Linked DNA regions of Rhinolophus ferrumequinum. The protein of the gene in region 1 purifies or fractionates together with the protein of each later gene. This does not show direct contact. Links are inferred from orthologs where the notes say so. Each region holds a gene or a part of one and is shown in the gene's direction. Other genes may lie near its edges.

The links.
Region 2: the proteins of COPG2 (region 1) and COPE purify together in Homo sapiens (affinity purification with mass spectrometry; 5 studies listed by BioGRID and IntAct, with this or other methods). This does not show direct contact. The link is inferred for Rhinolophus ferrumequinum from reciprocal best matches to the Homo sapiens genes COPG2 and COPE.
Region 3: the proteins of COPG2 (region 1) and COPA fractionate together in Homo sapiens (co-fractionation; 4 studies listed by BioGRID and IntAct, with this or other methods). This does not show direct contact. The link is inferred for Rhinolophus ferrumequinum from reciprocal best matches to the Homo sapiens genes COPG2 and COPA.
Region 4: the proteins of COPG2 (region 1) and COPB1 purify together in Homo sapiens (affinity purification with western blotting; 4 studies listed by BioGRID and IntAct, with this or other methods). This does not show direct contact. The link is inferred for Rhinolophus ferrumequinum from reciprocal best matches to the Homo sapiens genes COPG2 and COPB1.

What each region holds. Positions count from the first base shown.
Region 1 is NC_046309.1:16,018,901-16,026,826, forward strand, and holds the start of COPG2 (coatomer subunit gamma-2), read left to right. Parts: upstream 1-4,896; 5' UTR 4,897-4,985; coding exon 4,986-5,022; intron 5,023-6,132; coding exon 6,133-6,185; intron 6,186-6,759; coding exon 6,760-6,840; intron 6,841-7,926. Other genes in the region: TSGA13 (testis-specific gene 13 protein), read left to right, coding at 150-277, 4,387-4,556. UniProt on the Homo sapiens protein: The coatomer is a cytosolic protein complex that binds to dilysine motifs and reversibly associates with Golgi non-clathrin-coated vesicles, which further mediate biosynthetic protein transport from the ER, via the Golgi up to the trans Golgi network.
Region 2 is NC_046301.1:51,517,248-51,524,628, reverse strand, and holds the start of COPE (coatomer subunit epsilon), read left to right. Parts: upstream 1-4,370; 5' UTR 4,371-4,530; coding exon 4,531-4,656; intron 4,657-7,381. Other genes in the region: probable ATP-dependent RNA helicase DDX49, read right to left, coding at 226-301, 1,022-1,162, 1,313-1,500, 1,818-1,939, 2,028-2,113, 3,066-3,189, 4,042-4,156. UniProt on the Homo sapiens protein: The coatomer is a cytosolic protein complex that binds to dilysine motifs and reversibly associates with Golgi non-clathrin-coated vesicles, which further mediate biosynthetic protein transport from the ER, via the Golgi up to the trans Golgi network.
Region 3 is NC_046305.1:28,213,171-28,220,791, forward strand, and holds the start of COPA (coatomer subunit alpha), read left to right. Parts: upstream 1-4,611; 5' UTR 4,612-4,727; coding exon 4,728-4,767; intron 4,768-6,130; coding exon 6,131-6,244; intron 6,245-6,448; coding exon 6,449-6,522; intron 6,523-7,621. Other genes in the region: NCSTN (nicastrin), read right to left, coding at 3,114-3,218, 4,414-4,501. UniProt on the Homo sapiens protein: The coatomer is a cytosolic protein complex that binds to dilysine motifs and reversibly associates with Golgi non-clathrin-coated vesicles, which further mediate biosynthetic protein transport from the ER, via the Golgi up to the trans Golgi network.
Region 4 is NC_046294.1:38,767,153-38,774,721, forward strand, and holds the start of COPB1 (coatomer subunit beta), read left to right. Parts: upstream 1-4,564; 5' UTR 4,565-4,689; intron 4,690-4,974; exon of another isoform or gene 4,975-4,994; intron 4,995-5,318; exon of another isoform or gene 5,319-5,336; intron 5,337-5,424; 5' UTR 5,425-5,483; coding exon 5,484-5,574; intron 5,575-7,569. UniProt on the Homo sapiens protein: The coatomer is a cytosolic protein complex that binds to dilysine motifs and reversibly associates with Golgi non-clathrin-coated vesicles, which further mediate biosynthetic protein transport from the ER, via the Golgi up to the trans Golgi network.

The sequences.
Region 1 (7,926 bases):
TTCTAGAAGCATCCCTTCCGCTGCACAGTACTCCCACTGTGTACCAATGAACACCCACTGCATTTTCTTTTCTTCTCCCCTAGAATCTGAGCATGTACTTCTATTAACCCTCTACCCTTGGATCTACTAAATGAGCTTTCTTTGTTAAGGTTTTCCACCAACAATGATTTCAAGAGTGAAGGGAAGTATTCAATGGTCTGCACTTTGAGGCAACAGAAAAAGATGTACCCTCAGCTCACCTTTGCTCCAGTTAGTAAAAGACATATGAGGAAAGATGGTAAGCTCCTCTCTTTCAAAGCAATGGCTTACAGGACTGAGATATGGACAGGAGGAACAACCTATGGGGACAGGAGATAAGGGCAAATTGACATCTCTCGTGGAGGTTCTGGAGACAATTTTTCCTTGTAGCATGGAAGCTAAGAACTGATAGAGGCTCAAGGGTTGCTAAGCTTTTTAAATCCTTTTTAAATCCCTATTTAAATCCTCAAATTCAAAAAAGCTGTAGCATAGTGTTTCCAAACTATATCATCTACCACTTTAATAGGTTTGGCCATATCGCTGTGCTACTTGCCCTATTATTTACTTAATGGTTTTCTTTAAAAGGATATTTTTCTTGTCCTAATTAATATTATTACCATGGGTTTGATATACGAATTACATGGTTTTTTTTTAATGACACATATTTAATCAAATTCATAATAATTAAAATTTAAAATGTGTATCTATGTAGTGCCTAAAACTATTAGTGGTATGCATATCATACTTTGAGGAAAACTGTTCTAGAAGGGTCAGAGGAGTCTCAGAGGTACACAAGTCTCTCTGGGGCTGAGGCAGGACGTGGAGTGGAAGGGATTTGGGATAAGTTTGTATGGAAGAGGACACAACAGGAATTCTCCTTACAAATTATCATTCATTTAAGAACATTTATGGGCCACTACTAAGTGTTGGATACTTATCAAGCACGAGTAATAGTACATTCAACGTGTGAGACAGCTGGCTCACAAGCTCCTTGCACATTATATGAATAAGGGCTCGGGTTTTCTCCACTAGGCAGTTGCGACCCACTGAAGGATTTCAGAGCACTCAGTAGACAGAGCACTCAGTATTAGAAGTATAAGTATGGGTCCCTAGACTTCACTAGCTTATAGCTTCAAGATGATACCCCTTTCTCCTACGGGGCTTCTCTCTTCATGCAATTTCTGAATCTCCCTGAAGTACGCTTACCTGTTCCACATGCTAGTGATTGCCTAATACCTTTGCCAGCCATCCTGAGTCTAGTCATGGTTCCAGAGGTGTGTGGTCATATTGTGCCATCCCTTAACTGGCTTCTTCAGGCTTCTCTGCTCCTCTTCTATTTGCTTCCCCACTCCGTAGCCAACTATTGCCTCTCTTAACTCCCCATGTATAGCTCAAACCAAGCTGTGATATTAAACAACACTTCATAGATGTGGAAAGAAGTTAAAGACCTTATTTTAAAAGGGCTACTTTTAGGCTCAGGCTCAAACCTGCCTCAGTTCCTTCATACTTCTCAGTACATTAATCATTCTTGGGAATCTTCTGGCTTATCTACACTGTTTCTGCCTGGGTTCCCAATACCATTGGCCCAAGGAAAGGGAAGAGAATCGCTCCTTCCCCCAAACCTGTTTATTTTCAGCCCCAGAATAAATAAGTAGGAACATCTACAGACAGTATCCAACTTAAGGTGGTTTGACTAGGGTTTCCAGGCGGGAATTCCTGCTGGTTCTCAGGAACTTTCTCGCTTTCCCATTCCCGAATCCTGAGATATAAGTTGTTTTCTCTTCTCCACAATGAATCGTTTCCACAAAGTGACAGCCGATACTACCAACCACCTAGGTTTGAGGAGCTGATTTTCCTGATTTCCTGACCAACCTTTCTTGGGATTTGGGAACAGGAAAGTGAAAAAAATTCCTGAGAATGGACGGGAATTCCCATCTGGAAACCCGAGGTTTGACATAATTTTTTGACTTTACAATGGTTGTGAAAGTGATACGCATTCAGTGGAAACTAGCTAAGCTGTGATGATTGATTGGTAGGTTAGGTTATTAAATGCATTTTCAACTTATAATATTTTCAACTTACAACGGGTTTATTGGGATGTAACCCCACTGTAAGTAGAGGAGCATCTGTATTTCCTTTATGGAAAACTCTACCTGGAAAGTAAGGTGTGAGCTTTATAAGTCAGATAAGGCAAATGTAAAACAAGGTGTGATCAAATAATACAATGAATGTTTAAATAAAGACATTTTTATTACTGTAAAAGACACATTGTCATTAACCTCCCTCAAAATACTCCCCCTCGCTTCAAACAAACTTATCATTCTTGCCACTTACTGAAGCAGTTCTGGAAGTCCTCTTTCGTGAGTGTCTTAGGTTGCACTGTCGTGGCTGCCTCAATGTCCTCAATCAATTCAAAACGTTTACCTTTCATGGCCATTTTGGCTTTGGAGGAGAGCTGGAAATTGCATAGTGCCAGATCTGGTGAATAAGGTGGATGAGGATACACCACAATGTTGTTATTTGACAGAAATTGCTGTACTAGAAGTGATGTGTGACATGGAACCTTTCCGCTGCGATCACAAAATACAGGAATGATGCTGCCGAGTGCCATCCAATGAAAAGGCAGGACTCTTCAATACAGTAAGTAGTGCGAGGACCCTTAGAAACAGTGTGTGACGTTTCAACTTGTTCGGTATAGTCAGTTGGGTGTGAGCTACAGTTGAGAGAGTGTGTGTTTTAAAATGTGGCATAAATCATCCTCCATCATGACAGAGCTCCGTGTCACACATCGCTTCTGATATACGGCAATTTCTGTTAAATAAAAATATTACGGTGTGTCATCGTCCACCTTCTTCACTGGATCTGGTACTGTGCAACTTCTGGCTCTTTCTCAAAGTCAAAATGATTCAGGACATCAAGGCAGCCACGACAGCGCAACTTAAAGACACTCACAAAAGAGGACTTTCAGAGCTGTTTCAGAAAGTGGCAAGAACGATGGGATAGTGTGTTTCAAGTAAGGGGGAGTATTTTGAGGGGGATTAATGGCAATGTGCCTTTCACTGTAATATTTTTTCTTATTTAAACATTCATTGTATTGTTTGATCACACCTCATGGTTAATAGTACATTTAGTAAAGTTGGAGTTGAATCTTAAATGCTACCATATGCAGGATATTAATAGTTCAGCTTAAATCTATATTGGGGGAAAAATTTCACTAGACTCTAGAATGTAATCTAGATCAGAATTTCTCTAATTTTTCAAGGGCATGATTCTATTAAGGATATACACAATTTACTTTTCTAAACAGAATGTTTAATATCTCAGTCTGCAGCATTTATAGATTTATGGTGACTTTACAGTTTCCCTCAAGGAAAATGAGCAGATACCGACTTTAGTTATATATCTTAGAGGCCCATTAAGTGCTTTTCCTAAACAAGGACAATCTACTGTGGATTTAAAATAGTATCTCCTCTTCAAGCAAAAGAGAAAAGCTTCAAGCAAAAGCTCTGTGGCTAGCAACGCTCCTTCCCATAATAATGTTTCATGTTTATCAGGCATCCAAATAAAGAAAGATTACATAGAAAACGGTTTGGATGGGGGCCCTGGATTAGGAGGCTGTCCAAGAGACCAATGATAGGACGTGAATTAAGGTGTTAGCAGTAGGAATAAGGAAACGGATTCAAGGGATATTTACAAGGCGTAATACATCAAAAAAGTGGGAGGGATGGAAGCAAGAGGAGCCCGCAATGGTAGATTCCAAGAACATGCAGCTTCCTGTCTTGGAAGAGAATCTGGACAAAGTGATGATACTGAAGCCAAAAGTAGTTTCTTAGTTACACCCTCAGGCGGGAGACTGAAAACCAACAGACACTTTAGGAAAAGGCTAAGAGGGATGTGAATATATAATAGACGCCAACAACACACCTTAACTTAGTGAGTTATGGTTACTGTGTTTTCACAAAAATAAGACCGGGTCTTATATTAATGTTTGCTCCAAAAGATGCATTAGGGCTTATGTTCAGGTGATGTCCTCCTGAAAAATCATGCTAGGGCTTATTTTCCGGTTAGGTCTTATTTTCAGGGAAACACGTAGAGTCAATATGGTTGCAGATGGAGTCCTTTGAAAGGGGTGGGATTAAACAAGGAACATTCTAAACCAGCAATGTTTTAAGCTGGGTTTTGATGAAGGGAAGGACTCCAGAACTACAAAGAAGGTTGGGAACAGTAGTCCAAAATCTATCCCCGTGCTAAGAGTAAAGACCAGCTCTCTCCTCCCTCTAAGTGGGTCATTTTCATGCCCCACATTAAGAGTCCTTCTGGACCCTCTGGAAATCCACAATCACCGAGGTGCCCTGTGCTTTGTTGCAGTTTCCAAGAAATCAGAAAGTGACACGCTGACTTCCAAGACATATTGGGAACCACTAACCCTCTCCTCGCTCCTCAAAGAGAAGCCCACCAGAACCGCGCCAGGGGAGCGCGCCTTCCGCAATGGAAGGGCCCAGCAGTGGATTATACAGAATGCCACTGTCATTAAGTAAAACATCTTTGGGCCTCTCGCCTTGGTCTCGAGAGACTGAGAGGCCTGCAGAAGTCGCCATCCAGGGCGTGTCAACCAAATAAAATCGCGTTCTGCCCGCTCCGGGCCTGGGCTGCCAGGTCGCTGGCTGGGTGGGCAGGGGCGAGCCCCGGGTCCCGACCTGTCGCCCTCGGGGCTGCAACGCGGGCCCAGGGACCCAGCGCCTGGACCCGCCTCCGCCGGCTGGGGCAGGACGAGAGGGCGTGGCCACGTCCCCTGGGGACCTGAGCGGCCGCGACAGCCGGGGAGGGCGGGCCTTCTCCCCGAGTGACGGGACGGAGGCCCAACCGGCGCCAGAGCACGGGGCCGGTCTTCCTGCAGCCTCTTCCGCTTGCCGGCTGCGGCGCCTGGGACGGTTGCGGTGGGTCTGGGCGCTGGGAAGTCGTCCAAGATGATTAAAAAATTCGACAAGAAGGACGAGGAGTCTGGTACGCGCTGGGAGTCTGACGCCCACCCTCCGCCGCGGGGGTCCCTTCCCCCGCTCGCCCGCCGCCACCTGCTCTCGGGGCCAGCGGACCGGGGGGCGTGGGCGCCCGTGTGCCTGGGGGCCGGTTCCAGCCGGGGGCCTGCCCCTAGCCCCTCCCCCGGGCGCCGGAGCCTCCCCTCGGGTCGCGCGCTCCAGTCCCGACGCCCACGCGCCGCTTCGGGCTGCTCGGCGGCCCCGCCCCCTCCCCCTCCCCCTCCGCCTCCCCCACCTTTGGCGCAGCCCCTCCAAGCCGCCTCCGCTCGGGGTGGGCTGCTTGCAGAGGCGGCGGGCCCATGGCTGTTGGCGGCCAGAATGGGTGTGCGCGTGTAAGAGGCGAGGGATGCTGGTGGTGGTAGGCCCAGAGTGGGTCTGAGATCCACGGGACATCCTGTGTGTATATGTACTTTGAGGTGCCTTGCACCTTACAGTCGTCCTGGGGACCTTTACACTGTCTGCTTCCCCGGGGGCAGAAGTGTCCCATGGTACACAGATCATTTAATGCGCAGGCATCCAGAAGTGAGTTGCGTCTTGATAACTGTGGTACAGAGCAAATGGGGGCGATGCCAAGCCACTTCAGAAACAAACTCAGTGTCTGATAGATGCTGTCACCAAGTGTGGTAGAGGGTTGGGTTAGTAAAACCTTCATGGCCCCTTCCAACTTTAAGTTTATATGAGTCTCTGCTAAACTCTTTCCTGCCTCGCAGTAAATGTTGGAAACACAAAATCACGCGTGCCTTTAGGGAAATCGAAAGGGCCCTACGACAATCTCATTAATCTTAGTTGTGTGGACATGACTGATATCTGTAACATTCATATAAAAAGAGGACAGAAGAAGACACTCATTTGGGGCAGGGTTCCTGCAAAAGTACAAGATCTTACAGGAAAGCAATGACAGAACCAGTACCAGAATCAAAATGATTGTATTCAATTTATGTGCATATGAGTAATGATTATCACTGTAACATCCCAATGCTCACCTCAGGTGCGATATCGCGAGCATTCGCTACCCTTCTGTAGAAAATAAGTTTGTGTAGGATTACAGTTATTAAAGATTTTTTTGTTTGTTTTATAGGTAGTGGTTCCAATCCTTTTCGGCATCTGGAGAAGAGTGCTGTGTTACAGGAGGTATGGCTTAGAAGTGTATTGTGTTCCTTCTTTTCTATTCCATTTTAGAATGGTGGGCACAGACAGAGCCTCTGGAATGCTGAGATCCAAAATAAGGAGTGTAACTGAGTTCAGAGAATACAGACTTGAGGGAAAAGCAAGAGGGGTTGCTTGTCAGAGGAGAGACAGTCTAGAGTTTATAGAAATGCAAAAACATGCAGACTCTGCCACATGTTGAGAAGTATAGATAAAATGCCAGAAGAGGTGTTTAGTGTATGGTTATTGAAGAAGGTTACAGACACTAAACTCATTGTATTAAAATGATGTAGATAAATATTGTGATTCTCACTTAACATATAAAGCCTACAAAGTTGAAGTAGTAGACCTAAAGGAATGAGTTAGAGAGTATAGAATGGGAAATCAGGCTACATTTAATTATCATATACCATAATAAATTGAAAACTATAGGCAGCTAACATTGTTTGGAGATAGTGATTAAAATACATAATGGTCTTTATTAAAGTTGATTTTCTGTAAACTGTGATAGAAAAAGTAGAAAATATACTATACATAACAATGGTTTTTGTTTCCATAGGCTCGTCTGTTCAATGAAACGCCCATCAATCCGAGAAGATGTTTACATATTCTTACAAAGATTCTCTATTTACTGAACCAGGTAAATTATTTTGATTTTCTTGAGATTTGTGTCTTGGAATAAAAATACATACTATGCAGTAAAGCATTTTTTGGAGAGTATAATTATTTGATTTTCAAAACATCACTTAATTAAAAAATCTATAGTGTTTGATTGACATAATATTACCATATAAAACTTCTTGAGGATAAGGACTGTGGCATATACTTCTTTTTTATGCATGAGGTACTAAACCACTAAGCACATAGTAGAGTCTCAACATGATTTGAATTTCACAAATATTAGTTAATGTTAAAACACATTATTTAGAGTTTGTTCAGAGGTCTTTATGTCCCTCCAAAAAGATAGTGCAAAACCTTAGATAAATTCTAGATAGATATTTTACCCTTTTTGGGGGGTGGAGGGGGTATATGTTTTATAACTTTGCTTTTAATATTCAGATTTTATATCTATTATCCCTACTCCACCATTACTAGTAGCAGTATGATTCTGGGTTTAACCATTTAGTGCCTTAATGTCCTTTTCTATAAATGGGGATTATGATAAAAGATGCTTTATAAAGTTGTAATGATTAAATGAGGTAATAAACATTAAGCATTGAGTATAGTCCTGGATACATAGTAAACATTCAGGAATAGTTTTCATTCTGTATTCAGCAAGTATTTATTACATGCTTCCTGTGTCCTATGCACTGTTTTAGACACTGGGGATATAACAGACAAAATCAACAAAAATATTTATTCTAATGAAACAGATTCTATTTGCCATGGTTATTAATTTTATTTTTTCTTGTTTGTTTTTTTTTTTTGTTCAGACTTAAACATCTCATGAATGTCTAGGGCCTTAGAAAATGTGATTTTGTTTCTTAGACACACACACACACACACACACACACAGAGTTTACATATGGTGCTAAGAAGACAATGTTTCCCATTTGAATTCCATGAGAATATTTTATCTTTACTATGTTTCTTGACTGAAGACCTCATTCAGAGACAAAATAAAGTTGTGTAGTTTGCAAATGGTGATTGAGCAACAAGTATGTACTTTTAAATAAAATGTATCTATTCACAAACATCGTATCCCTCTGTGGTAGCATATTAGAAA
Region 2 (7,381 bases), on another chromosome or scaffold:
AAATGTTTTGAGCACTTACTGTAGGAGGCGTGGGCACAAGGCGGAGGCCAGGATGGTCCTGCCCTCACAGGGCTCCCACAGTCCAGTAAGAGAGGACTGTGAGAAAGGCAGACCAGGACAGAGAGGGGCGGCAGGAAGAGTGCTCCAGACAGATGGAGGAGCCTGGGCAAACGCCCTGAGGCTGGGAGGAGCCTCGGCAAGTCTGGCAGGCGGAGGTCTCCTCACCTGTTTCATCATGGAATGCAGAGCCACAGTGGGGAAGTTGAACTTCCGCAGCATCATGCACAGGATCTGGCAGGTCCTGGCAGGAAGGACACACTCTCAGTCCCTCCAGCACCAGGATCCTGGAAAAGCACTCTTGCCCCCGCCCCTGCCCGGGACCCATGCAGGTGGCCCTGCACAGCTGGGAAAGAACAAGCAGAGGTGCAGGGTGTCCTGTCCACTGCCGTCCTCTCTCTGATTCCTCCCCTGGCCTAAGCAAACAAGAGTTAGCCCTACATCCAGGGCCCATCTGTGTTGGTAGCCAATACATTCTTAGGGGGCAGTGCCCATCTACATTCTTGGTGTGGCGTCCCCATCTACTGGTTCATGCTAGAACAGTCTACAGCTTCTTGAAATCTCCCTCTATGCTTCAGAGGACTGTCAAGTCCCCTGGGACCACGGGGAGGACGACCCCAGGTGGGGGTGCCACTGCACTGGGCCTCAGTGACAACCCTAGACAACAGTGGATAGGCTGTTCCAAGGGTAGTGACAGCTCAAGGCCACAAGCCCTTCAGGTTAAGGCGGGTCTGAGGAACCCGAAATCCTGGTGCCACCTTTAGGAGGGGTAACCTTGGTGAGCTGCTTGATCTCTGTGAGCATTCTTGAGCAAATCCTCCAAAACCTCTGGTCTGAGCACAGGCCCTGGAGTGCTGCATGCCTCCCACCCATGACCTCAGGCCACATCTTAGGCTTCTGTGAAGGGTTATGGGGGAGCCAACCCTCGCTCGGGGGGCAAATGGGGGGGCCCACCCTCACTCACTTGCACGTGTTAGTGAAGATGATGATGGACCAGTCCTCGTGCTCATCCTGGAAGTTCTGGATCAGGTGGACCAGGTAGGCGTCCTTGACCTTCTCAGGCACCAGCAAGTAGCGCTGGTCCAGCTGTTCTACAGTGCGTACTCTGGGGACGGGCAGGCCTGTTTCCCCTTCTGATGAATTTGGCTAATCCCCTGCCCCACCCATGGGCAATAACTTCCACTGGGTGTGACGCCCCCCCCGCCCCCCCCTCCTGCTGCCTGCCTTCCCCCACCAAAGGTGGCTGTAGACTCACGGGGCCTGAGCCTCCCAGAAGAAGGGCTGGTTGGTGGCCAGGCCCTGCAGCTCCTTGAGTGTGTCGGTAAGAGTGGCACTGAAGAGCAGTGTCTGCCTGCGGGCCGGCACGGCTGCCAGGATGGCCTCCAGATCCACTGTAAAGTCAGTGCAGCCCTGCTCCAGCAGGCGGTCAGCCTCATCCATCACCTGCAGCACCGGCAGCCGGGGGATGGGGAGGAGGGCGCTGTCCAAGGCTGGCCTGCTTCCCCCGTGGGCCTCCTTCCCAGCCTTGGCCGTGGGCCTGGGAGCACTCTCCCTCAGTGTTTTGCAGGCCCTGCTCCCTCACCTGTCTCAGCTCCAATGCCGCCTCCTCAGAGACGCCCTGCTTCCAACCACTCTCGCTAGTACAGGTCACCTCTTATGGGTCTCTGACCCTGTCTCTGTTATGTTCCTAACATGCTACTACGACGGCCTGTGGGACATATGTTCCCCAAATGGATGAATCAGTGGCCAGGGCAATTTACCAGGAAGCGGATCTTCTTGATACTGAAGGTGTTAGAGCTGCGGAGGTGGTCAGCCAGGCGCCCCGGCGTGGCGATGACCACGTGTGGTTTCCGGGACAGCTCCAGGGCCTGGGCCACCATGTCTGCAGGTAGATGGCAAGAGGTGGGGCTGGGCGGGTGGTCCGAGGCTGCGGGGACCCCACACTCAGAGCCTCCCTGGGGCCCGCGTACCCATGCCGCCAACGATGATGCAGTCCTTCAGGCCCAGAGGCTTCCCCAGGACTCGGAACTGCTCTGCGATCTGGTAGGCCAGCTCCCTGTGGGTGTGAAGGAGCCGGGCTGGGTCAGACGGGTTCCGCGCCTGCCTCACATTTCCACCTCCACCGCCGCGGCCTCCTGACTCGCCGGCTCCTGTTCATACACCCTGCACAGCTCCCGGTCCGCTTTAGACAAAATCTCTGACACTGAGCACTGGAGGGCTGTGTGGGCTCTGCTCCCTCACCAGACTGGGTCCCAGAACAGCCCACGGCCCCACCCCCACCAGTCCCACCCAAACTGGCTTCTCCTCCTCCCATGTCCTCAGCAATGGCCTTGACACCAGTTACCAAAGCCTGAACCCCGAGCATTAGTGCCCCCTTCCCTGGGGCCAGTCAGTGTCCAAGTCCCTCCTCGGCCCATGTCCCCACTTCCCAGCCTCCTGTCTTACTCTCTCCTGCTCACACTCCCTCAGAATCAATTCTAACCTGGCATTCAAGGCCCTTCTCAAGCTGGCTCTAACGTGCCCAGCCCCAGTACCCCTTCTGTTCTCTGCCACTCACACCTCTGCATATGAATGCACCAGCAGACCTCTGCCTAGATTACCTTTCCCCAAACTTGTCCCTTTAGGATGAGACGCTTCTCATCCTTTAAGCACCCATGACTGAAGCGTTCCTTGACCACACCCGTTCCCAGACCACAGCCTTATAGAATGCCATTAGAGAGGACCTACGTCAATCACCGAGTCTATCCGCCCAGGATCCGAAGATATGCCTGGTTTTTGAGCTATAAGACTATTGACAGCTCCTGTATTGCCTCTTGCCCTGAGTCAAGCCCTGTGCTCAGCATTTTCACATGCTACCTTGTTTAATTCTGTAGCACACCTAAGAGGAGGCATGATTTCTGTCCCCATTTTGCACACAGGGAAAGTGCAGCTCAGAGAGGTAAAGGCATTTGCCCAAGATAACACAGCTGGTTAACTCACCCAGGAGGCCTGTGGGGGGTGGGGCTCACCTGGTGGGTGTCAGGACAAGGCAGAAGATGCCATAGGGATCCTCAGACAGCTTCTGTAAGATGGGCAGCACAAATGCTGCCGTCTTGCCACTGCCGGTCTTGGCACAACCCAGGCAGTCCCGACCTGGGCAGAGGGCAAGCGACATCAACACAGTTTAGGTATATACGATGTTCCATTGAGCACAGTTTACAACAGCTAACATTTAATGAGCAGTTAACTGTGTGCCGGGTACTCCCATTCCGGGCATACTAACAACTTCCCATTGTGGGCAACTGATAAATTCTGGGAGAAAGAGGCCATTATCATTTCCATTTCATAGAAGGTGGAACTGAGACTCAGAGATTTGCCCAGGAACATAGTTGATGAGTAGCAGGCTGGATTAGAACCCACATCCATCTGACCCAAGATGCTACCAACCACCACTTAATGTTGACAACCCTGCCCCCAGCATGAACTTGGGGGAATCTGGGGGAATTCCCCCAGTCTGCATCTCATGCTCCCTGTGGATTCTTTCACCTTTGTTTAATCCCTCAACTTGCTACATCCTAGGCTTTGTGAGGACATCTCTGCAATGGCAAAACTGGGTTGGGCCAGATGAGTGAGAACAGAAGTCACAGGACCAGAGTCCTGGATCTACCAGTAATCTTGACAACTTCACTTTGCATTTGTAAAATGAAGACAGTAGTACAAATTACTCAACTTTACCAGTATTATCGGTTAGTCATTCACCAACACCGCCCCCCCCCCACACCCGAACTCTTGAGACTATGAGAGTTCAGAGGCTACATAACTTGGCGGGGATACACAGCGAGTCAGTTGCGCAACCTAAACGCTAAAACCGCCTAGTGTGCCTCAACCCAGGATCCCCGAAACGCCCGAGGCTGCCCCTCGCCTCGCAGGACCAGCGTGGGTTAAAGGGAAGGGAGGCGACAGGAGCGGGCACGCCTCCCGGGGAGGAGACCGGGCCACACTCACCTTCCAGGATGGCGGGGATGCAGCCGAGTTGCACGGGCGTGGGCTGCTTCAAACCTAGCTGCCGACATTGTTCCACGAGCCACGAAGACAGTCCAAGCTCCGCAAACCCAGCCATCCTCGCCGCCGGCCGCAGAACCCGTGTGAGCCGCGCTTCCGGCGCGTGCCGATGACGTCACTAAACTCTCCCGTTGATTGGACCCGCCTCCAGCGTGGTCTCACCCTCGTTAGCTTTCTCTTCCATTTCCAGCCTCGATCTTTTTCTTACCGTTTCGGTGAATCCCAGTGGCCCGCAGGATCGAATCAAACTACAATTCCCGAAATGCTCTGCAAGACGCACTTGCGTCTTCCGCCCCTTTACTCCCGTTTCGGAGACTTCCATTAGCTCATCTCCAGGCCAAGTAAACTACATTTCCCAGTGTGTCCCGCGGGGGCGCCCTGCTTCCGGCCGACGTGTCCCTCAGGAAGAGGAGTGAGTGAGACCACAGTGACATGGCGCCTCCGGCCCCGGGCCCGACCCCTGGCGGCTCAGGGGATGTGGACGAGCTGTTCGACGTGAAGAACGCCTTCTACATCGGCAGCTACCAGCAGTGCATCAACGAGGCGCAGCGGGTGAAGGTGCGGCCGCTTCGGGTTGCGGGACGCTGGGGGCGGAGGACGCTTCCTGATGGCCGCGGGTAGCGCTCTGATTTTGAAAACTCTCTTCCCCTCGCGGCGTACCCCACTCCCCCACTCATATCTTCAGAAGCAGTGAGGAGTTAATCCTTGTTCCGTGACAACACCCAAAGAAGTAGCAGTTTATACTTCTCAGAGTGCTCGCTCTGCGCGCTGGCAGGCATTTGAATAAGAGGCATTTATGCCACCACTTTGGTAATAATAATGGTAATAATTCTCACTTGTTGAGCGCCCACATTGTGCCGCTATACCTTCAATTCCCGTTAAGTAGGGACTGTTTATCCTCATTTTACAGATGAGAATACCGACGCTCAAGATAAATGGTTTCCCCGACGTTACCTTGCCCCACTAGCCGGATCGTTTCTCCCCAAACTCGCACATTCATTCATTCATTCATCTGTATGAGTCAGCGTATTGGTGCTGGGTTCAAAGCTGTGATAAAATAGACAACTCCCAGCTCTCTTGCGGGAATCTCAGCCTTGCCAGGGAGACAGACATTAAGCAAGTACATAAATGAGTAAATAAACAAGTCGGGAGGTGGTGTGATGGAGCATGGTGGGAATGAGCTTGGCTGTTTGAGAACTAGAAAATAAACACGCCAGCGAGGAGCCGGTGACTGGAGAGGGGGCAGCAGGAGCCATTAGCAGGACCTTTGAGGAAGGGACGTGGCTGTTACTGTCACTTTGAGAATGAACCATTGGAGAATTTTTAAGAGCAGTGAACATGGCAGGGTGTTTACCTGCCTTCACCGCCTAGTGTTCCAAAGAGAATAAATGAGTAAAGAAGTGAGTGAATATGTAATTACAACTTGAACTTGAGCACTGTGTGTGGGCGTGGGGAGATAAAAAGTGCTGAGTTGGAAATTGGGAGGGAGGGGTTGCTGCTTCACATGGGAGTGGTCTCATCAAGCCTCTCTGACTCATTTGAACTTGACACTGAACCTTGAGAAGCATCTAACCCCATAAGTTGCTGCAAAGGTGCTGAGACAAGTATGAGCTCAGGGTAGTCAAGGCATAAGAGGCCTGTGTAACAGAAGTGGGGAGGTGGTGAAACGGGGGACTGAGAATGAGGTGGGCAGGGCCTTGGGGGAACAGCAGGGCTTTGGAGGCCATCAGAGCACCAAGCAAGGGAGTGACATGTCTTCATAGAGGCAGCCAGAAGGTTGGGAGGAATGTAGACTCTGCAGTAAAGAAGGCTTGCTCTCCATGCTTCTGGCCTTCGGAGCATCATTGTATAATATAGACAACCTCAAACAGATTTCAGGAAGCTGTTAGGATTTGTTGAGATAACATTTGCACGATTGTATTAATTTTTCTGTTGCTGCATTAACAACTTTATCACAAGCAGGTTAAGACAACACAAATTTATTGTCTCACGGTTCCTATAGGTCAGAAGTCCAACATGGTTCTCAGCAGGCTAAAATCAAGGGGTCAGCTGGGCTGTGTCTTTTCTGGAGGTTCTGGGAAAGAATCTGCTTCCAAACTCGTTCAGATTTTGGGCTCTCCACCTTGTGCCACGCTTCGCTCCTAGAGGCTTCTCTTCAGTTCTCAACCTCGCATGTGGCCCCCTCATCTCAGAACTAGGCACGGGGTTCTCATACTTGGAGTCTCGAGTTTCCCTTCTGCCTAGTTTCTGTTTTAAGGCCTTCTGCGATTGGACTGGACCCGGCCAGATAACCAGCACATTCTCCCCATTTTAGCGTTCATAACCTTGATCACATCAGCAGAGTCCCTCTTGTGATGTAATGTGAGCTATTTACAGGTCCCAAGGACTGGCGTGGATCTCTCTGGGGAGCCTTATTTGGCCCACCACCAGAATTGTGTGTGCTTCCTTGCTGGGATAGTATAGGCTGTGAGAAAATTGAGATGGACCTGGGTTCAGATTCCGGCTTTCCTGTGTTCTCTCTGAAACCAGGTCTGAGTCATCATTGTATCTCTCTGAGTCTCAGTTTCCCCTCCATCAAATGGGAACAATGACATCTATCAGTAGGGTCACTGTGAAATTCAGCATTGCGCTCACGTTCTACCCTTTGTCTTCTGCTATGTGTCTGTTCTGCTTACATCATAATATGCAGACTACATTGCTGCTGAAAGAACCAGCATGATCTTTTGTACAAAGAGAGTGACTGAAAACCATACCAGCAGTCACTCTGTCTGGAGGCACACGCAACCGACACTCTGGCAACGTGATAAAGATGTGCTAGCACCAGACCAAGATATCCCTGAGGCATCCAGAGAATGCGAGCACTGTTCATCTGATGTGATTTAATTCTGATCCGTAGGACACCTAAACCTCTTGGGCAGTCTGTACTATCTTGAATGCTGTCCCTGAAAAGATGTCCACCCAGAACTTGTCAATGTGACTTATTTGCAAAAAGGGTCTTTGCAGATGTAATTCCGTGAAGGATCTCTAAATGAGATCAGCCTGGATTTAAGGCCCTAAATCCAATGACTGGTGTCCTTCTAAGAGAAAGACAGAGAGAGGTTTGAGGCAGACAGAGAAGATGGAGGCAGAGGTTAGAATGATACAGTCATAAACCAAGGAATGCCTGGGGCCACCAGAAGCTGGAAGAGACAAAGAAGTATCCTCCCCTGGAGCCTTTGGAGCCAGTGTGGCCCTGGTGACACCTTGATCACAGACTTTTGGCCTCCAGGACTGTGAGACAATA
Region 3 (7,621 bases), on another chromosome or scaffold:
GGCTACCAGAAGGGAAGAGAAGACAAAAGAGCCAAGAAGTCTACTCATGAGGTCTTGTTCATTAAAGATTAGAAAGGCTGTGTGATCTTCACTTTCCTGCCCTCTTCCCTCAACCTCATAAGTCATATATGCAAGATTCTATGACAGCAGACACCAAAGGGTTCAAACCTGTATTTTCTCCAAGAAATGGCAGGCTCTAAATATCTAGCTTGTTCTAGCACTGAATCTTCCTTTGTGAAAACATATGTGCAGACTCCGTTGGCCTCAGTAGCCTCCCTGGATCTCTATTCCTTTGCCCTATTTGGGAATAACTTTACTTGCTTTTGGCCAGTTTTAGGTAAAGTTCATCAAGAACACTAAGGTCTCTAGAACAGAGCTTCCCAATTGATGGGCCTTGAATCATTTAGAGATGTGCTGATATTGATTCCCTTCATTTCTGGGGACCCTAGGCTGGAGCAGACTCACCTATTACCCCAGGAGGCTCTACAAATATCATCGATTTCTATATGTGCCAGAATGCCATACAAATAACATTTTCTATGTATCTCATCACATTACAAAGATTGGGAAGCACTGCATTAGAGGATAGATGACCCTGAGTTCTATGTAGCAATGCAGCTCAAGTCCCTAGTGATCCATGTAGAGACATCTTAGGGTCTCCCCGCAAGTCTTCTTCCCACTCAAAACTGGATGTGTTATTCATAAATTGTTTTAGAGCAGTTCTCAACTCTGGCTGTATATCAGAATCACTTTGGAGTTTTTAAAAATACAGATACTTGGGCTTTACCTTAGATCTACTAAATTAAAATCTCTAAAGGTGAGGCCCAGGCATGTGTATTTGCAAAACACGCCACTTGTGGTTCTTTATTATACACAGCCAGGCATGCAAATTATGGCTCTAGACCAAGGCACTGAAATACCTGTAACTTCCATGAGACAAAAACTATAAGCACTTTCAGACTGCCAGCCAGGTAGTCTTTTGCTCCCATGGGATCTGGTAAAATCTAGATATGAAAGCAGGTCCACAACATTCAACTATGTCTTACACATAGCAAATACTTAAGTTCATGTTGATAGTGACGATAATAAAATACAGAGGAATATCAGAATCTGGAATAACTTTAGTAAAGATCTACCTGGGAGCATTTGAGATCTTGCTCCCTCGCATATGTCATCAGTTTGGTTCAAATAAAGTCTCATTAAAAAAAAAAAAAAGACCTACCTATCAATGGCAGTTCTAAGTAAAATAAAAGACAGCAGTCTTTGCCATAGTATTTAAAACATGGGAAAAGGAAAAGCTAGTCTGGCAAATAAAAAATATGTAACTTCAGCTCCAAGGAGGACAAGAAGAAGACAAGTTATGACACTGAAAAAAACCTGGATTCTAATCTGGGTTCCAGTGGGTGACTGTGTTGTCTTAAGTAATTTGCTTACTTTATATAAACCTTCAATGAGGAGAAGATTTTCCACCCCTATCTATCTTATACTGTAGGGACAAATTCAAAAAGGAAAGAAAGGAATGAAAAGAAACCTACATATATAAACTCTTCGAGCACTTTAATAGGGTCTAACAGAAACAGGGCATTCTAATCAGAAAATCAAACCTGGGTCTTTCTCCTTCATTTTTATCATGGTAGCAACTCTAGTTAAAGAGAGCGTAGCCTGCTCAGGACAGACATACATGATGAAGTAAGACTTAGAAATGAGTAGGTTGAAAAGGAAACAAGATCTTAATGAGGAAGTGGCCAGAGTCCAGCCCCTCCCCACTTGTTTCTCTGTATTGGCACTTGGCTGTATCTCTAGAAGCTACTGCTTTGCTTCCAACAGGGCTGCTCTAAGAACATGCAGCAGAATGACTCATTCCCAAAGGGGTATCTTGGAGGCTAGCTCCAGGAGGACGGGGTCCTAGCCCTTGCACTAAAGTGGGGTTCTAGCAAGATCAGCAGTCTGACTCAGCCCACAGTTTAAGAACTAAGTCCAGTTTAAGAACTAAGTACAACAGAAATGTTATTTGGAACTGCTTAAACCAATTATCCTACTCCCAGTACTTCCTGTAGCAAACATATGGGACAACATAAGAGGAAGGATAGGTACAAAAGTAGTAACTGCCACCTTGAGCAAGTCCGTCACTTCTGTGTCCCCGTTTTCTCCTATAAAATTAGGTTTCAGGAAAGTCACAGAGTACTGCTGAGACCACATTATTTACTCAGCATCATCAATATACATTTATTAAAGGTTGTCTGACTTTCAGCTTTGTGTAGGTATATTGTCTTTATACGAGTAAACTGAAATTCAGAGGTGACCAATTTGATGAAGGAGCCAAGATCTGATTCTGTTTCCTGCTTACCTGCAAAACTACATTCAGACAGAGCTACTATCCACAGAAGAACAAAATTTGAAGATAGCAGGTTAAGCAGAAGAGGAACTGGGATTCAGACTTCAGATCACAACTTTTTTCCCCTTTCATAGTTTTATAGGCATGTTGTCATGGTACCCTGTTTTGGAACACATTTACAAAGCATAAAGACAAATCCAAATGCTTTACAAATTCCTCTTGCAACTATTTGGCTTTATCAATGCCTTCTCTTCAAATAGTTCACTGCCTTCAAGAAGCCCATTTTGGTTGCAAAAAGATCATTTAGAGTTCAGGTAATGACTGAATTCCATAGAATATGAGACTTTTTTCTCCTAAGAAAACAGTATAGTTTTCCACTTGACCCACTAGGTGGTTAAGAGTCCTGGCTTGGAATCTGGACCACCAGGGCTCAAACCCTAGCTTCATCCTTAATAGCAGGATGATCCTGGAAAAGTTACTGAACTTCTTTAAGTCCCACTCAGTTTCATCATTTGTAAAATGAGATAATAGAGCCTACTCCATGGGGTTGTTGTGAAGATTAAATGAGATGCACATGTAAGAAGCTTAGTATGCAGCATTTGCTAAATGTTAGCTTTTAATAACTATCTTGCCTGGTTTGACAAATGGTTCTCTACCAGCTCCCACCCACATAGCCTAATCTGTATGCTGAGACTCCCAAGCAGGACTTGGATATTTATATCGAGGGCAAAGACTGAACCATCAATGGCCACAGGCAAAAATCCCAACCTCAACTCACAATGGCAGCCAATCTGATGGGTGGCATTGAGCAGACGGACACAGGGAGCTGTTTTATTTAAGGGAATGTAGATCTTCCTCTCCACTGAGTTTCCCCCGCACAAACCTGATCAGAAGATAAAAAGTGTTAGTAAAAACTAGGATAGTACTAGCCTCCATCTTGTCTTTAGCTCACTGGATGGCTTGGGCATATCATACTTTCTAAAATGGGACTAATGTCCATTCTTCTCACTTCTTGGGCACATTACTGGAACACCTAAATGCAACCACCTATGTGCCTCAGAGGGTTATTACAAATTCTACATAGAGCAACTGACAGTGAAGCTAAAAGAAAAAACTTCTTTTGTCAGAGGAAAGGCATTTAACCTCAGATGTACCAGCTTCTGGTTGCATCGGTGACCACACTTCCACTTTTCTATCTGTATGTGTATTACAAATTAGTTAATAAAAGGGTTCCAATCTAAGATTATAAATTACAATTTAAAAAATCTTTCTGAGACTTTTTTCCAGGAGTCTGAACAGAATTGGGAGAAAATCTTTGCCACACCTGTCAGTTAATCTAACATCAGTACATCACTTGTGTGTGCCCAGTGTGGGGCGGCTATAGTTTCTCCTTTGGGGATCTTTAAAAACTATGTGAACTTGGGGAAGGTATGGTCACCGTTATATACAGGCATGTTTGAATTTTAGGGCTTGACAAACTAGAAAGCCATATACCAGAAAATAAATGCGTATAAGCAAACACTTATATACATTATAAATGCTTAAAGTTCCTTGAATCATTATTTCATGGTCTAGACAGTTAAGAGTACCCCATATCCTGATAACACAAACTGAGGAAAAGTACGGAGAATAAAGTACGCGGAATCAACAGCAGAGAAAATGAGGAATCTACTGTTCTAATAAGCGCTGCACTGCACCCACAGAACGAGGCTGCTTTCATCTTGAAATGTCTAACCGCTTTGGGAAGGAAGCTGAACGATGACATCTGTCCTTTTTGATTGTGGGTGGGGTGGCTGGGGCCCTGGGGAAAAGAAGGCATCCGGATAAAGTGGGATAGAGTCGGGCTGGAAGTCCTGGAGAAGACCTGGAGGAAGAAATGGGGCGACCCGACGTGCCGCGGGGGAGAGACCTTCGGGTCCAAGTAAAAGGGAAACTTCTGTCGTGGGAACGAATGAGAAAGAGATTTACAGGGTTGGGGGACAGAAGGGCAGAAGGAACCAGGAGATAGACGGTGGCGCTCGCGGCTGGGCCGATCCGAAGGGTTCTCCTTACAGACTCACGGACGAGGGAGGCCTCACCTGCCAGGAGGACGCAGAAAGACAAAAGGCAAAGAAGATCCCGACATCCCAGGTAAGCCACAGAGGCACCACCCCCGGCCGTGGCCATTTTGTCTCTCTGCGGAGCGGAAGTCTTTGTGCCCCTCCTGTCCGTTCGTGGCCTCTCTAGGCCCACACCGGCGCCGTCTCTGTGGCCCGGAGCTCCAGGGACCGGAAGTTCGTGTCTGGAGGAACTTCCGGGAGCTGCTGCTGAGGGCCGCTGACGTGGAGACAAACGAAGGGCTTCAGGGAGTGGCGGGGCTTGGATTAGGAGCTCGGAGCTGCAGGCCTGAAGGATGCTAACCAAATTCGAGACCAAGAGCGCACGGGTCAAAGGTAGTAGAGGAGCATAGGGGCTGGATGTCAGGGGCGGCGCTGTCACCGGGGAAGAGAGAAGGTAGACCGGTGGGCCGAATTGGGCCCTCGGAACGAACCCTGAGGAAGATGGACCGGAGGGAAGTTAGACCTGCGGGCGGTTCTCCAGCCCGCCACACCTCAGGAGGGTCCTAAGGCCCGTTTTCAATTCTTTCCCTTCTCCTCATCTGGGGCCTGTGTTCCTGACTTTTATTCCTCTGCTCCCAACGCCCTGTGACCTGTTGGCTTTTTGATGACGTATTCTAGGGAGTGTCCCTGGGGATTGAGTCTCGACCTCTGCCATTTGTATCCAAGTCAGTAGCTTTTTTGGAGATGAGCACTGGCTACCTCACTTAAGGAGGCTGCACCAGGTCAACATCCAATGCCTCCATTGGGCTTTATTTCCTACTTGGAAACAGGACATTTAGGCCTGTAACCCCAGTAAAGTCTGAACTTGATAAGGTTGCCAGGATGCCCGGTTAAATTTGAATTTCAGATTAACAGTAATTTTTGGTATTGTTCATGGTTTATCTAAAATTCAAAGGTAACTGGGCATATTTATTTCCTAAGTATGGCAATTCTAGAGCTTTAGTATCAGTGGTTGGGGGTGGAGGGCAAATGACTGAAATCACAGCAGTAATCTCTTAGAATGTTACAGTGGGAAAGGCAGAGAAATAAGGTCTTCTGAGATTTGGAAAAAGTATATATCTTGAATATTTAGTAAGATGCAGCTTGCAAAGTGGTTAGGAACTTAGCGTTTGGAATCAGATGGGCTTGCTTTGGAATGCTGAAATATCCATTAGCTAGGTGTATGACTTAACAGTTCTAAATCTGTTTAATGTGTAAAATGTGAATAATTAACATTCTCTAATAAAGATAATTAAAATGGGAAAGTATATGAAAAGTGCTTGTTACAGTGCCTGACATAGACTCATTAGCTTAAAAATCTGTTCTTGCTAGCGAGGATGGAAAGACCTCCTACAACTACAAGGCATATAGAGACTTCAAAAGGGTATTGCATTAATAGTGGTGCCAAATTAGACCTACACTAAAGACTGCTGTGGACCCACCCTAAAAAAACTTAAAACGCAAGTGTCAAAAGAATCAACTGATTCCAAGTAATTTAACTGCACCCTAAGACAAATTCCAACAATATTTAAAAGAAGATAGCAAATATTTTTTTAAAATCCAGCACCTTATAAAATTCACAATGCCCAGCATCCAGTGAATGAATGAATGAACCTAGGATTAACTTAGCTGTTCCTTTTTCTTATCAGAATTGACAGGAGGTGACTTTGTGAGGCTTACTTAATTTATTGGATCACTCTCTGCTTTTTTCCCCCAGGGCTCAGTTTTCACCCCAAAAGACCCTGGATCCTGACCAGTTTACACAATGGAGTCATCCAGTTATGGGACTATCGGATGTGTACCCTCATTGACAAGTTTGATGAGCATGATGGTAAGATAATAGTTTCTAGGAGGAAATTAAAAAAAGATACAAGTATTTATTGTCCTCTAGAATACTTTAAGCCTTGTTTGACATTAATTCTTTTAGGATTAAACAATGTGGAGGGGATAGAACTGGAAGATCCTGAATAAGAATCACCTTAGAGATTAGGAAGCATAGCTCTCTTTAACATATATTGCCTGCCTTTTTCCCCAGGTCCAGTACGAGGCATTGACTTCCATAAGCAGCAGCCACTGTTTGTCTCTGGAGGAGACGACTATAAGATTAAGGTACAGCGGGTCTGTCATTACTAGGAGTAAAGAACAGAGAACATGGAGTTTGGGAATTGTGGAAGGGTCTAAAAAACAGTACTTCTTACTCATACAGAGCTCAGGCTTTTCACAATGTTATCCAGAACACTTATCCAGCAACATTTACTGAATGTTTACTGTGTATCAGACACTGTTTTATTTTTTGGGAATTCAAAAATAAATAAAAAATGGCCTCTGTTCTCCAGGAGCTTTCATTCTAATAGAAGAGATAACTGTATATCCAAATAATAGGTGTGTACAGTTTAGTGAGTGATACAATAGAGAGATAACCAAAGTGAAATAGGGAAGGGCATTCCAGGTAGAGAGACCAAAAAGCATGACATAGCTGGATAAGAAACTATAATTAGTTTTGTGTAAGATGAGAGAAAGGGCCAGATCATGGAGTTTGCAGTGTTCAGGAGATTGGATCTGTACAAATAACGAGGAACCATTAAAGGGTTTTAAAAAGAGGAGTGATATCAGACTGACATTTTTTTTATAACGATTACTTGTGTGGTAGTATAGAGAAAAGATTGGATGAATTGGGCAAGACTGGAGGCGGAGATACCAGTTAGGAGACTGTTGTATAAGTTCATATGAGAGAGGAACAGCGCCTGAGCTTAGGCAGTAGCATTTGAAATGGAGAGAAAGATGGATATGAGTGCTTAAGGAAATGAATCAGTAAGTTTGTTGCATGGATGTTAGAGGAATTGTAAGGGAAAATAAGTGAGATTATTTATCTCAGGCTTCTAACTTAGGTCACTAGGTGGAAAGGGTACCATTAACTAGGAAAGGAAAAACAAGTACAATTTTTTGGAGTGGAAGAAGATGGTGTCTCAGTCTGTTCGGGCTACTATAACAAAATACCACATACTGGGTGGCCGATAAACAACAGAATTTTTTTTTTTTTTTTTTTTTTTTAAAGGAGGGCACAGCTTACAGAGGCCCATGCAGGGATCAAACCGGCTATCTTGGTGTTACTAGCACCACGCGCTAACCACCTGAGCTAATCAGTCACCCCCCAGAAATTTCTTTCTCACAGTTCTGGAGGCTACAGGTCCAAGATCAGGGTGCCAGC
Region 4 (7,569 bases), on another chromosome or scaffold:
CACCTTCACTGTAAACCATATATTGTGACGCATTTTTCTTTGAAGAGGGGTCTATATAATCATTTTCTAGAAAGTATAGTTATCTGTACTAATGTTTTTATATAAAGAATATAGTGTCTTCGTGGTTTTAAAGACAACTGTGAAATAAAATTGTTTCACCTGCTGGAGTATTGAGTTTTTGTTGTTGTTTTTTTAAGTAGCCTCAACTATATAAATAGTCTGGGATTACAACTGGTCATTTGCCATGTTTGTCAAATTGCCTTATTTTTAGTGATGGGGAAAAATAATAACTCTTTATCTATCATAGCCTTATACTAGCTCCCCAGTGTATGGACTGTCTGCATGAGAATTCATGGAGATTTGGTTCAGAATACAAATTTCAGGGTTCAGCTTTGGAGATTCTGATAAAACCTAAGAAACCACCACTTCAAGCAATAGTAGTAGCAAGATTATTAACATGTAAATTGTTTTTCTTTCCGACCAGCAGATGTCAGCAATGATAGCTCTGCTCTCAGTGTAGGGAACTTTTGCAGAAACAACAAAAGGGAAATTTTAATCTGAAACCATCATTTCCTCTTATCCTGCTCAACCAAACTCCAGCATAATCTTGAAGCTGCCTGCCATTATTCCTGTGAGCTGTGTACCGAGATACTGCAGAACAATTTTTATCTTAGACCATACAAAATGAAATTAAAGGAAATCTGATTGAAAAAACAAAAGCAATAAACCAAAATTTTGCTGCTAAGAAGCCTTAGAAAAGTTATGAATATAATGAATATATTCATATCTTTCTGGAGAGGAGCAGTTCATTTGTAGATCGGGAACTTGGATTTTAGACCTAATTCTGCTAATTAGTTACTATTGTCTTTAGGCAAGTTATACTTAGCCTTATTTTAAGGAAGTCCTTCAGAGAATTATTCTGAGTGTCAAATGGGACAATTTATGTGAAAACACCTTGTATACTCAAAATTTCATAAAATGTTCATTTAATTTTTTTTCTAGATTGCTCAAAACTTGAAAAGCATTCTTAGGTTCCTAGGTTTAAATCTCTAACTTCTTGAGGGGAGAGTGATAAGAGAAACTGGCAACATTGTTGAGAGAAAAACCTGACTAAATACAGGAATATGTGAAATGTTAGTCTCCACTTTGGAGTAGCCTCAAGAGTCTGCCATTTGAACTTGGGACAAGGCCACAAGTACCACGTGGCCATTTAACTGACAATGACGTTGCATCAAGCACACGTAACTTTCACAAACAAAATAAAACTGAATGAGGGAGCCCTCCCGCCTGCCTTCGGACTCAATGGGGGTATAGTCTGGTAGAGACAACATAAGAGAGAAATTTCGTAATCGGCTCTTTCCTCAGGCAGGTCTCTTCCCCTGTGCCTATCATGGTGTGAGCCTTTGTCTTTGTTAAGTGATTCTATTTAAAGATTTTGTGTGTGCATGTATAATTTTTATACACTGTTCCCTAAATGTAAACCAAAGTTGGGTGGCACTTGGCTGAAAAAAAAAAACTGATCCATATTGTACTTTGGGAGCAATTTAGTAATTTTTTCAACATTTGATTTTAGTCTTCTACACTGACTTTAGAACTTAAAATTTTCCTCACCCCAATAAGATTCAACCCCATTGTACAGAGTTCATTGTGATGCCTTTTTATGTCAGTTTATCTAGTTGTTTATACTCAATTATTCCATTTAGTCTGTTAATTGTAAACAAAATTCCTAATGTCCTTTCATAAAACATCACTTTTGTTGCTACGCAGCAGCCTATCTGTCTCCTTGTACCTGCCCCTAAAGAAAGGAGAGTCTGTGAGACGGATCCTTTCAGAGACTTTGCTTCACCTTTGTGTTTGCACCTTATGTCTCCCTGTTTGGCCCCAGAAAGATGGCTGGTCAGCCAATGACAAGTAAGATTCCCCATGGTGGGGGGGAACAACTCAAGCCAGGCGCAGTAAAGTGGGGACTTGTGGGGTCGATAAGAGGTGGGCACAGCCCCCCCACCTTCCCGCAGCTAAGGAGAGCCTCTTCCTTTGTGGCTGCATTCCTTCCCACAACCTGCAGGGGAAGAGATTCAATGATGTGCTCTCCATCTATTCATATGCATAAAGGTTTTGTCCCTTGGGGAAGGATGTACATCCTGAGACTTAAGGGTTCCGCTGCCTGCTGGCAAGGGTGATTGGCTTGAATCAGTTTCCTAGTATGATGTGTAGGATTCACAGATCTTGAGATTGACAAACTTTATCCTCACCTAACTAATAAAAGCTAATGCGTAGGCCCGATTTGGGGCCCAGTTCTTGAGACTGGAGCCCCGTGGCCCTGTTTACACTCTTACTGGCTACCGTCTTTTCTTAAACCTGCGCCATCCTCCTCACTCCCCACAACCCTCGTTGCGCGGGATGCGACAACTTTGATATAAAGATAATTCACCTGGAATTTATTAAGTATGTGTGCATCTTTGAAGTACTGGTATGGTTTAAAAACAAGAGGCAGTAAAGTAGGTGACAGATTCAGATTCTGGTCCCAGCTTTTTCAGTGTTTGACTATTTTGCAGTTTTGGTTAAGTCCCTTTTCTCTAGACCTTGATTTCCCAGACATGTAAGTTTTTATGAATCTTGGTATATGACAAAGTCTTTGCTCTCAAATAATGTGTAATTTAAAAAGCATTCAAAATGATGTAATTACATGCTAGAGTAAAAATAAGTCTCAAAACAAAAGTGCACGTTTTAATAAGGAAGAATTAGACTACATAAAGTTCTGATGCCTGTTTAACAAGCTCTGTATTTAAGAATATACAATAGTATATACACTGCCTCTGACAATTTTAAAATCTCCCTAAATGAGATTTTAAAAAACATTTTCTTTCCTTTTTTCATATTTAACAGTTTACTTAATAACTTGGTCACGATAAGCCTCAAATTATTCCATAACACAATGGAGCCTTCAGGACAACTGAAGGGGATACGGTTAGTCCTACACCATTCACCATGGCCCTAAACTGCTGAGCTTTCTTATTGCTAAGTCTAGTTTTTATGCTCTCTTGGGCTTCATTTCATGCCAACAGATTGTCATTTCTTGGTAAGTGGGCTTGGAAACCAGATAACTGCAGTTGTAAAAAATCTCATGTTAAAAATGAATACACAAAAATGGGACAACCTGTTGTACAGACTGCTTGGGTTGATCTCAAGGGAATTATGCTAAGTGAAAAAGCCAATCTCAAAAGGTTACATTGTATAATTCATTTATATTACATCTTGAAATTACAAAATTATAGAATAGAGAACAGGTTAGTAATTGCCAGGTGTTATGGAGAGAAGTGGCTGTGACTATAAAATGTTAGGAGTGATACTTGTAATGGAATTGTACCTTAACTGGTGGTGATTACTGGAATCTAAACACGGTAACTACACACATGAGTGCATGTTAACTGGTAAAATGTGACAAGTGAATGTATCAATGTCGATTTCCTGGATTTGATATTGTACTATGATTATACAAGATGTTACCACTGAAAGAAACTAGGTGAAAAATATATGGGATTTCTGTATGTCACTCTACAATTATCTCAAACAGTTTTAAATGAATGCACAGGATTTGAGGAGCACTCAAAGTGTTATAAACACATGGCCTTTGTGATATATTTTGGGTGATCAAGGAATTTTTTTGCCTGATGGCTCCAAAAACAAGTCTCAAAATATCTGGATTTTAGATGGATGCTCTATTTGTGTTCTAGCTCCCTAATCGAGGTGAACCTGTTACTAAGGGCAGGTCCTGTCAGACCCCTTTGTATTCACAATATTTTTCTTAAGGCTTCAATTTCTTTTATTAATAAGTGGCCGAAACCTTTCGTGGGGGAGTCTGGTATGGAACCTTAAATGGGCAAAACCGAAGGTGCCATGGCGAATTGTCACTGTAAAAATTACGTCTTTTGGAGATAGTAAAATCCTTTAAAACAGTGACTGTCGATCTCCCTTTATGCATAAAAAAATTCAAATTTACTGGATGTTCAGAATGGATCGGGAAAGGGACCGTTACTAAAACAAGCCACGTCATACAGCGTGACTTTGGTGTTCAAGCAACTCCAGCCTAACTGCAGAGGCAGTGATTCAAATGACTGCAGATGTTAAGAACTGAAATAGATCTTCATATAATCTAGTGTCCCTTATTAGAAAAACCGAAGTTACTAACTCAAGTAGTATTCAGTTACTTTCCCAGTTTATTAGTGGGTGGACGGACTTCTAGCTCCCGATCTTGTGCTCTTTTTCCATTGGATCAAACAGTACTGTAAAATGTTTCCTCTCTCCCCAAGCACTTCCTCCCCTTGACTGTTTTAATACCTGGAATAGGAAACAATTTCTAAATAGCATTCAAGTTACCACAGCGCTTAATTCAAGCTTGCAGGGAAAACATTAAATATGTATTTCCAATCTTTTCTGCGGCCTAAACCAACCATGGACAAGAGAAAAAAAAAGAAAGAAACTTACAAGACATACTTGCAGCGCGCAACCGCAGAACGGAGAAAGCATGTCCTCTCTGCGTTGCCGTAGGTGCTAGACGGCTGCAGCCTCGGTCGTCTCCCCACCCCTTCCACGTCAGCCAAGGACTCCGCGGAGCCTCCGCTACTGCTGGGGGTTGGAGCAGGAATAGACGGTGTCGCGGTTGCCCCTGTTGCTGCCCCTCGGAGCCAGGTAGCGGGCCACGAACCCCCAACCCCAAAAGCGTGGTGGGCTGAGCAGAGTTGGAGGTACTGGCTCTCTAGCGGGAAGATGCGGAAGGGCAGAGACTAGGCCGCTCGCGTCCAGGCCTGGCGAAGTGGAACGAGGGGTCTGGGAAGCTCTGGGCCGGACGCCCGGTCCCGGCCTGTATAGTGGCCATTGGTCTTCTCCCTCCCAGGCCTCCGGGGCTCGCCGTTCCAGGCTGGGACTTGCTTTGCAGGGGAAAAGGGACAGGAAAGGGGCGTGGAGGTACAGCGCACCGATCCACGTACGCAGAGGCGAGTCCCACCGATGAACACGATAAAACACTTCAAGGTTTTAGCAGGTTAACCGTGCACAGGGTCTCTTAACTTGAGCAGTTCAGGTTGGGTGTTAAGTCACTTCTGTAATATGGTGGGGTGGGGCTGGGGGACTGTCACTGTATTGTGGCCCTTCATTCTGCAGTGCAGCATTCTAAACCCTGGGCGGGGTTGTGGAGTAGGAGCTAATATACCTTAGGTCAAAACTGATAAATGTTTTTTATTACATTAGGCTTTATTTTTATGGGACACGATATAGGTTAACCCTCCCCTTCTGCAACTTCAATATTTAGAAGCCAAACTGAATCAACTTTATAGACAGTAAGGATCACTCAAGTTACTGCTTGTGTTTTTGGTGTTTTGTTTTTGGTTTTTACTTGTAATGATATCCTTGTATTTATTTTCCTAGATTTCCTGGCATCTGTGATCCTTTAATCTTGTATCAAGGGTTGATTATAACCAGGAACCATGACGGCTGCTGAGAATGTGTGCTATACGTTAATTAACGTGCCAATGGATTCAGAACCACCATCTGAAATTAGCTTAAAAAATGACCTAGGTAAACTTTGATCATATTTGAAAAAGAAAATGAAAATTAAAAGCTTATTTGTATTTCAGGTTCTTGTATAATTAGAAATGCTTAATTTGTGCCTAAATATTTTCTTCTAATATCTATCTCTTCAGTAAACCTTTTGCCTTACTAAAAATGAAAACTTGTTACCTTTAGACTTGCAGTATTGGTTTTTGGAAACAAAACATCTCAGTTTAGCCTAGTAAAACTAAAGAAATGTGATAGTTTAATTGTTAGACATTGCTAAAAATAACATAATGGTTTGTGTAGTTTAATAACATTCTGCTTAAAAGCAGTTGACCGTTCTCTATAGGAGTACATAACAGGTTGAGAGAATGTGTATTTGAATATCTTAGTTTCTTTGTGTATTTAATTCATATTACTTAGCTTGTAAAACCAAAAGAACTTTGTTCTTTGTGTTCACCACCTGTTGAACAAATGAAATCAACCTTGGAATACACATGCATTTTCCAGGGTTAAGCTTTTCATTTTAAAGCATTATGCGAAGGAGAAAAGGAGTATATTTCTGAATTTTAAAAGTGTATGTCTCCTTTTTCTGAATGATTCTGTCAAAAAAAATGTTAAGTAATGAACGTTCCAAAATAATGATTCTCTTTTAATTGAACTACTAACTTAAACTGATAACTACTGGTTAAAACAGAGTAGAGTGAAAATTATGCTTCAAATCTTGAAAGTATCTTTAAGAAGATAGTTTGCAGTTTGAAAGGAGACAGTTCTTACTTGTATATTCCCCCCTCTTAATCAGTAATAATGGAATACCTCCTGATTTTAGATTACTTAATATTAGGTTTCTACTGAGGTCTAGTTTTAGAGAAGGAAGAAAGAAAACCCTCTTTTATGGCATTTAAACTGATACCCTTATGTACAAAATATATGTACATACAAAATATATGTATATACATATATATACTCATACGTATGTTGTGTATATACATATTCACATAAGATAGTAGAATGGAATGCAAATTAATGAATAGACTTTCTATTTTTTTTCTTATAATTTAAAAGTTTTCATTTTTAGACCCCTGCAAAATACTTAAGGTTACAGCTGGGAAGGTAAAGAACAAAACCTGTTCTTAATTATAACAATAGCCTTTTCTTAATTGCAGCTGCCTTTACTACTCTCCCCCAGCCAATAAATAAATAAGTAGTCTAAAATTTGTGACTTTATCTCAAAAGAGTTGAGATGAGAAACTGTTTAGAAGTAATTTCCAGTTTAAGTAACGAATACTTTTTTGTTTGGTGAAATAGTGAGTTGCTTTACCTACACTTTTCTTTACATTTAATCGTTGGAATGAGCTCTAATGACTATATACGTTCCCCGGAGAGTAGGAAGTACTTAGTGTATTTTGGTGCACTGAAGTGATATTTGAAATTTTCCATATTTTTGGTAGTAGTCATAAAGGAACAGAAGATATAGATAGAAACATCCTTCACCTCAGTTTGAATTGTTGAAATAAATAGAAATTGGGTTTGGAGGGGCTTGAAATAAAAATGGTGTAGATTTTTTTACAAGTTTGCTAGTAAACTTTTAAAACTTAACCTTTAGTTACAAGTGATGTTCTAGCCTGCTAAACTTTTAGGATTTGCTAATTTGTGAAAAGTAGACAAAACTGGAACAAAAGAAGCCATCAGCATTATAGTGATATAATTTTATACCTTTTGACTCTCCTTTACACTATCAGATAAAGTAGGAAAATTCTTTTTTTTTTTTTTTAATTCAGAAAGGCAACTTTGGGACAAAGAGAGGAAAACCTGTTTAGGCTCAGTAAATACAACTTTAGCCACATAGAACTTTGACTAGTCTGTCTTATTTTCATGGTTATTGCTCTCAGCTGCTGTCATCTCTCCTGATGCTTTTCGTCATCCTCACAGATTTAAAAAACTGAAAGTTTGCCCAGATTGATACTCAGTTCATCCTTTCACGTTTATTTCTTGATTTGATGTAGTATACATCATATT